Canis lupus familiaris: one gene and its partner. The protein of the gene in region 1 binds, or shares a complex with, the protein of each later gene. Links are inferred from orthologs where the notes say so. Each region holds a gene or a part of one and is shown in the gene's direction. Other genes may lie near its edges. The genes, in order: SEC31A and PDCD6.

Evidence for each region.
Region 2: the proteins of SEC31A (region 1) and PDCD6 are in contact, whole or in part, in a crystal structure (PDB 3WXA), measured with the Homo sapiens proteins. The link is inferred for Canis lupus familiaris from reciprocal best matches to the Homo sapiens genes SEC31A and PDCD6. Residues at the interface, in NP_001070675.1 of Homo sapiens: Asn837, Pro838, Pro839, Pro840, Pro841, Gly842, Phe843, Ile844, Met845; in NP_037364.1 of Homo sapiens: Val31, Val35, Leu48, Ala51, Leu52, Ser53, Asn54, Gly55, Thr56, Trp57, Phe85, Trp89, Ile92, Gln96, Phe99, Phe148.

Annotation. Positions count from the first base shown.
Region 1 is NC_049253.1:33,233,899-33,237,718, forward strand, and holds part of SEC31A (protein transport protein Sec31A), read left to right. Parts: intron 1-2,276; coding exon 2,277-2,396; intron 2,397-3,820. UniProt on the Homo sapiens protein: Component of the coat protein complex II (COPII) which promotes the formation of transport vesicles from the endoplasmic reticulum (ER).
Region 2 is NC_049255.1:12,055,435-12,059,254, reverse strand, and holds part of PDCD6 (programmed cell death protein 6), read left to right. Parts: intron 1-3,311; coding exon 3,312-3,421; intron 3,422-3,820. UniProt on the Homo sapiens protein: Calcium sensor that plays a key role in processes such as endoplasmic reticulum (ER)-Golgi vesicular transport, endosomal biogenesis or membrane repair.

The DNA of each region.
Region 1 (3,820 bases):
ATTTGCTTATGTATGTTCACACTAACTTGACAGTTGCAGTATTTCATTTGACCTAATCAGGAGCCACAATTTAAGATCAATTGAATTCCGTATTTTCAGCCAAGCTTGCTAAACAGAAGCTATTTTCAAAGGTATTTCCCTTTAAAATATAAAATAAAAATGTAATGAGTTGTATTTTTTCTTGTGTAAGAGCTGGTAATATACAGCCTATCTTCAGGTGGAGCTATAAATTTGTACCTGCTTTTCACAGATAAGCAACTAGTCAGCTGGCAGGGTTCTAGACAATGAAAAATCACATATAACTGATTTAGACATATAAAGATAAACATTTTGATTTGTTCATGAAAAGTGAAGAGCTTGGGTCAAAGTTAACATAAGAAGAGGAAACAAATCCTTGTCCAGAGTGTAAAACTAGTTCTATTTTTGTCTTTGATTCATTGAAGTCAAATTTATAAAGTTATATCTCTATCACAAGGGTATACTTTACTATTAAGAGAGAGTTCTGCCTAAGGAACTTCTAAATATTAAAAGTTGCATTATAAAAACCAGTGTTTTGATGGAGGTAGGAGGACTGACTTCTTTCCACAGGAATATAAATTATAAAGATCCATTGCTAATTTTTTTTAAATGATTACAAGTCTATGCTATTTTAGGAAGCTACCCAGCCATTCACTTTTGTTTAGACATGGGGTTCCCATGCTGTACTCATTTAGACCAGAACCTCAGTTACCATCAGAAGGGAAAGCTGCACAGGGAATGCTTGTTTAGCCAGGCCATTATATACTTGGCTACCTGGATGTCTCTGAGGCACCTCACACTCAACATTTCTAAAACCCTATTCATAGTCATCCTCCCAAACCCAGTCCTTAAAACTTGGTGTTTCTTGTTTCTGTGAACTGCACTGTAATCCTTTCTATTTAATCTGGCCAAAAACCTGGGCATTGTCTTTATACTCTTTTTCCTTCAATCCCTCTTTCAAATCTATCCCTAAGTTGTATTGATAGCATTTTAAAATTTTTCTCAAATCCCTGGTCTATACTAAAGTCTGGGCTATGCCGCCTTCATCTCAGGTCTTCAGCAGTGCAGGAGCCTCTAACTGGTCTGCCTTTGACTGATCTATCTGGTCTTGTTTCTGCTTTGCTTAAAACATTGCTCTCCAGATAAAGACCAAAATATTTTACATTGCCGGGAAGCTATCAGTTTCATACTTCTCCTTGCTGTCTCTCTGCCCCAGCTACACTAGCCTCCTTTTAGTCCCCTTGTCATGATGTCATGATCCTTCCTTTATACAAGTTCTTCCTTTGACTGGAAGGCTTCTCCTTTCCCATTTAACTGGTTAACTCTTACTTGTCCTTCTGATAAAATTTCCTGAAGAGAGCTTTCCCCTCAGTTCAATTCCAGTTATAATGTCTGTTGGTTCCTTAACATTAACTTCTTAACATTAAATAAGCAATTAAATAGCAATACAGTTGCTATTTTAAGTGTATTAATGTAATGTATTAAGTGTATTTTAAGTGTATTAATGACATTCTATTTTTTAACTTTTTTCAAGTAACATCTTCATTAAGATATAAATGTCTGTAAAGTTTTTGTTTTATGACACTTTAAAACGTTCTTTTTCTTTATTAGCCTATAAACTGCCAGAGAGCTGAGATCACTTCTGAATTGGCTTGCAAATACATAGCCAGTGCCTGGCACATAATTGCCTAATATTTTTTGAATGAATGAACTAATAAATCAGAACTTTAAAAACTTAAACATGCCTTCTTTGTTTTTCCAGCTATGCATTCAGTAACATGGTGGTCTCTTCAATTCCAACTTTTGACTTAATCTTGCAGTTTGATGATAGCCCAGTTACCAACCTCCAAAAGTAAACCAAAGACTAGAAGAATGCCAAGATAAATGAGCCAACAAGCAGAGCAAGCAGCCACTCTAACTAGCCAAACTTTTTAAATGCCTGTTCTTTTTATTTCCTACTGGCTGTCTACTTTGCACCAGATACATACTGTAGTGATCAGCATATGTTCTATAATTGATCAGATACTTTATATCCAGTTCTGTTTTTGAAAATCAAAGCTGTAGAAGCCTGTACCTTCTACTGAATATGTGATTTTCATTTTACTTATCCCAAGGGATTTCACATGTTAATTTGTCATTTGATTTTAACAGCCTATCTACAAGGTAGTTAGTTGGTTTCTCTTTGTCACACTTTTAGGGCTTTGTGTATAGGTAGTTTCTGGTCATTTCTGGTCATTTTATGATATTATTTCTTCCAGCATGTGCAGTCTTTGCCAACAGAAAAAATTACCAAAAAACCTATTCCAGATGAGCACCTCATTCTGAAGACCACATTTGAGGATCTTATTCAGCGCTGTCTCTCTTCAGCCACAGATCCCGTATGTATTTTTTTCTCATATTTTGCTTATTTAAAATAATCTCATTTATGGAGCTCTTCTGTAATTGCACAGAGTCTTACAAGATACACTTTAGAAGTTTGTACAATAGTAGTAAAACTAGCATTTATATAGTTTGCTTTACATATAAAGATGTATTATAATTTCTATTATATATAAATAATTTAATCCTCACAATAACCCCAGGGTTATTTGTCATCTTTATTTTATAGATGACCAAATTAAGGCAAAAAAGCAGTTAAGTAATACCCAAGGTCAGAGCCAGAATTCAAACACAGTTTGGGTCCAGAATTTATGCTCTCAGCCACTATCCTGTATTGCCTCTCATCAGCAAACCTCATGTTTGGCACTTAAATAGAACAGAATGGTGGTGTGTAAGAAATTCAAGTTTGAAAAAAAAAAAAAATTCAAGTTTGGGCTTTCTGAGTTTAGATCAAAGTTTTTAAAAGTAGATAGATAATCTTATGTATAACTTTGCAAAAATCTTGGGACACCTAGGTGGCTCAGTGGTTGAGCGTCTGCCTTCGGCCCAGGGCATGATCCTGGAGTCCCAGAATTGAGTCCCACATCAGGCTTCCTGCATAGAGCCTGCTTCTCCCTTTGCCTTTGTCTGTCTGTCTGTGTCTCTCTCTCTCTCTCTCTCTCTCTGTCTCTCATGAATAAATAAAATCTTTAAAAAAAAAAAAACTTAAAAAAATTGTTTTAGGTATTAGAGTCGTATTCATAGTTAAAGCAACTGGTTTTATTAGTTTACCTAGAGGATGCCTGTGTATTGGCAACAACAAAAATCCTACAAAGCTGGTCTTGTTTTAGATGAAATTTCAATTTTCTGCCAACAAACATTGAATATATTTATCCACTGGCCACTTGTCTGCTTGAAAAACAGCTTCTGGAATTTGTTGTTTCATAAAACATTGAGTATTAACATGTGCAGCTTTCTTCTGGTCTTTTGGAAGGCTATTCCCTGTGTTAAATGTGTCAGGAAAGCAGAAGCAGGGAAAGGTTAACATAAACCTTTGTGCCTAGCATTCTGGAAGTGATGGAAGCACTAAGCAAGGAACAACGAGCAGATGAAGCAGTCTAGCATACACTGTCCCCTGTGAACACCTCCAAACAGGGCACATTCAAAAATAGAAGAGTCCTAATAAAAATGAAGGAAAACTCCAGCCCTCCTTCAGACATGAGTCAGTATAGAGCGGTTGATAAGACACCTAGTACACAACCCAGCTCAATAAATTTTTGTTGAGTTTAAACTCCTCTGTGTCAGCATATCATCTTCATTCTGGGTCCAAAGGAGCCTTGGGCAGAAGAGAACCACAAAAGACAAACTGTTCCTATAATTCCTATAAATAGGGGAGAAGTCCTAATAGCCTGTTCTGTCCAGCTGACTCTGCCACTGGGGTAGG
Region 2 (3,820 bases), on another chromosome or scaffold:
TTTGGAAGATTTTCGGTAGTAATTGAAGCAAAGATTCCTGTCCAGTTTCAGCTTCTAAGAACAGATGTGTGGCCCTGGTCAAGCAGGGGGGCCGCATTCCAGCTCTGCACACGCATGAGGGAATCGGGGGTGGGGGGATCGAGCCTGAAAGTGTCCTCTGACGTCTGTCCACTCCATGTCTTGGGCCAACCCTGGGTGTGTTGGGTTACCCTCTCAGGCCCACATGCTGGGTATGATAGCTCACGGATTCCTTTTTAAAACTCAGGTCTGGTATGTGCTGTGCACCCGATACAGAGACCTGAAAGTAAGGGAGTGTGTGAGGCACACCCTCACCCCGCTAATAGCGGGCCCTGACAGCTTGATGAGTAGGAGTCCCCCACATGGTGCTGTCCTCCCATGTGGGGAAGGCAGTCAGGTGTGGACAGCTCCCCCTCCCTCCCTGCCCAGCCAGCTCACTGCTTTCTGACGAAGAGCTTATCAGAGCACAGGCCCTTCCATTCAGTGTCACTCACCTCAGCTAGTATCGACTTGGTGCTGCATCTGCTTTGTCTCTGTTTTATGCACCAAGGACTGCAAGGCTTGTGCCGTGTTACCCCAGAACACTTTATTCTGCATCCCTGGAACATGTGGACATTTGCTCACAAAAATTGGTGCCGTGGACCCACCTTAGAAATTAGCAGCCCATTCGCATGAGTTGGGGTCCTAGCAGGTCCACGAGCAGCCCCCACCCCTTTTTTATGCCACAGGCTGGTTATACACATGAGTGGATGCCCTGTCCCAGGTCTGTTCCTTGCTGTAGTTTCTGTACCCTGGAGAGTAGTTACTGATAAGCAGCCAGGTTTTTGGAGGTATGCTGTCACACAGGGTGCTGAGAATAGGCAGTTGGTGACTTGTGGGGTCATCAGGACAGCTGTGATGTCTCACCCCTCCTGTGCTTGTTCTCAGTAGAGAACCTCACTCTCCTATATTCAGGGTGCGGCCCTGTGGCCAGCACATCAGGTCTGACCAGGGCCACAGGCTGGGGGAGCTGCACACAGAGGGCACCACCTTTGTTTGTTTTGTTTTTTTGTTTTTCATTTAATTTAGTTGAAGTAGAGCTGACATAATGTTACATGAGTGTCAGGTGCGCAACATAGAGATTGGAGGGTGCTGTAAGGCACTCCGTGCTCACCAGGGTCATAGTCGCCATCTGTCACCCCATGGCGGTATGATCAACTGTCTTCCCTATGCTGGACATCTTGTCTCCTGACTGACTGATTTTATAACTTCAGGTTTGTTCTCCTTAATCCTCTTCACTTCTTTCTTCCAACACCACCCGTTACTTAGGAGTCTGTTTCTATGTTTGTTCTATAATTATCTGGTATTTGTCTTTCTCTCTGACTTACTTCATTTAGCATAACACACCCTAGGTCCCATCCATACTGTCGCCAGAGGCATCATCTTTTTCTATGGCTGCCTGATATTCCTGCGTGTGCACACCTCTTCTGTGTCTGTCTCCCGGTCTGTCACTTGGGCTGCTTCCATATCCTGGGTGCTGTAAATAATGCTGCAGTGAATGTGAGAGTGCAGATCGAATCAGTGTGTTCATTTTCTTTGGGTAAATACCCAAAAGCGGAATTATTGGATCATGTGGGAGCTCTATTTTTAACTTTTCAAGAAACCTCCATACTGTTTGCAGCGGTGGCTGCACTAGTTTGCTTCCCACCAACAGTGCACATCCTCGCCAACATGTGGGGTTTCTGGTCTCTGATACCAGACACACTGATCGGTGTGAGCCACCTTGTTCTGATCTGCATTTCCAGAGGATACCCCCACTTAATTTATGAGGATAGGGTTATCATGATGTGGATTTTCAATGGAGAAAGTTCTCAGAGAAGAGTCTGCTCCCAGATTTTGCCTCTTACATAAACGTCTCTTTTGTACTCTGTTTGTTCATCACTCATTTTCCTAGTGTGGTTTTCATTCGTTTTGTTCTCTCTACATTAGTATTGAAGGCCAGGGATACTGGAAGCTAATCACAGGGATGATAGAAGTTGTTTCTGTGGTCTGTACCACTCCTGAGTATGCATCCTGTGTGTTCTGTGTGGGCAGGAGACCCGCACAGCGATGGCTGTCGTCTGCTCTCCACACCCTGGTGAGCTCAGCCCTTACCAACCTGGGCCTTTCTTACCTGTCCACAGGTGGTATAGGTGCCAGGTGTGAGGAGAGGAGACTCAGAGGGGCCAGGGGTTTGGTCCCGATCCAGGACCTACTGTCTCTTTTATTTAAGTCAGGGATCCTGTCTTGCCTTCAGCTGGCAGGGAAGGGAGCCCTGGATTTAAGTCACAGATGCATAGAGTATGCTGACCACTCTGGAAGGTACTGTCATGTGTGTGCATGTTTGAATCTTTTTTTAGTGAAGTAATTAAGCGTTTATGCAGGTAATTAACTATGAAATTCACTCAGATAATAGGTGTACATATATCCTCGCAAAGATTCCAGCAGGACCGAAAACCAGTAAATATATTTGGCCCCTGGATCTTGTCTCCTGAATAAGTAAGGACTCCACAGTCACACAGGTAGTGGGATTAGGAGGGAAGGAAGTAGGTGTGCTTGTCTATGTCTAGAGTGGCCCCGAGAGGTATCCTCGTGTCTTCAGGACCGCCTCCCTGTTGGAGACCTTTTCAGGACCTTCAGTAAGTTGAAGGTGGAATCGGTGGCTCTTTGTCATAAGATTTGATGACCCTTGAGTGGTTGTGAATTTTATGGGGCTGCCTTATTCCTTGTAACCTTGCATTTCCTAGTGTCAGTGTGCTATATGTAGGGGAGTACCCATCAATTGCTCTGCTATTCCCTGAGTTTACATTCTGATTATTTGGAAGTCTTCAGTAATATGGTCTTTCAAATGTACAATGAAACTTACCATTTGTAAGATGAAAACTTGATAATGAAGCCTGGCTGCCCTGCGGAGTGATCTTGGGGTGCAGCACTATAAAGTGAGTCTCCTGGATGTGAACAAGTGAGCTCACCTGAATGACCTGCTGTACCCGATGGTGCTGGCCACCTATGACACTCACCCTTGCAGAAGAAGGTGGTGGTCTGCGAGTCAGCCATTGGCAAGACTGCACATGGGGAGTACTGCAGAGTGAGGGCTTTGTTCCCAGAGTGCATGTGAGCGAATTTGCGCCTTGTGTTTCCCATCCCAGCCTCGGTCGTTTGTCATTTGTTATCAGCAGATGTAAGAGGCTGCAGGGCCTTATGGGAAGAGGATGGGAGTGTTGATGGGATGTCCACTCTCCTGGCCTGTGTTCATTCTCACACTTCTCTTCCAGGGTACCGGCTCTCTGACCAGTTTCATGACATCCTCATTCGCAAGTTTGACAGACAAGGACGGGGGCAGATTGCATTTGATGACTTCATCCAGGGCTGCATTGTCTTGCAGGTAATTGGGGCTCCCTGGGGGCTGACAGAGCTGAGCTGTGGCACAGGGGGCGAGGGAAGGAGGGAAGTGCCATCCTGCAATGAGTGATTTCATGGAGTAGAATCAGTTCTGCAGCTTATAAGAGCTAGTCTTGTCTGTGGAGTTCTGTTGAACGGAGGTGTGACCAGTAGAGCCTGTTCTCCCCGTGGGAGTACAGCTGGCCCTCAAACAACATGCGACCAAATATGTTGGTCCATTCATAGGCAGATTTTTTTTTTTGATAAATACAGTATAGGGCTGAAAATGTATTTTCCTTATTTTCTTAATAACATTTTTTCTTTTTTTAAGATTTTATTTATTCATGAGAGACAGAGGCAGAGACATAGGCAGAAGGAAAAGCAGGCTCCATGCAGGGAGTCC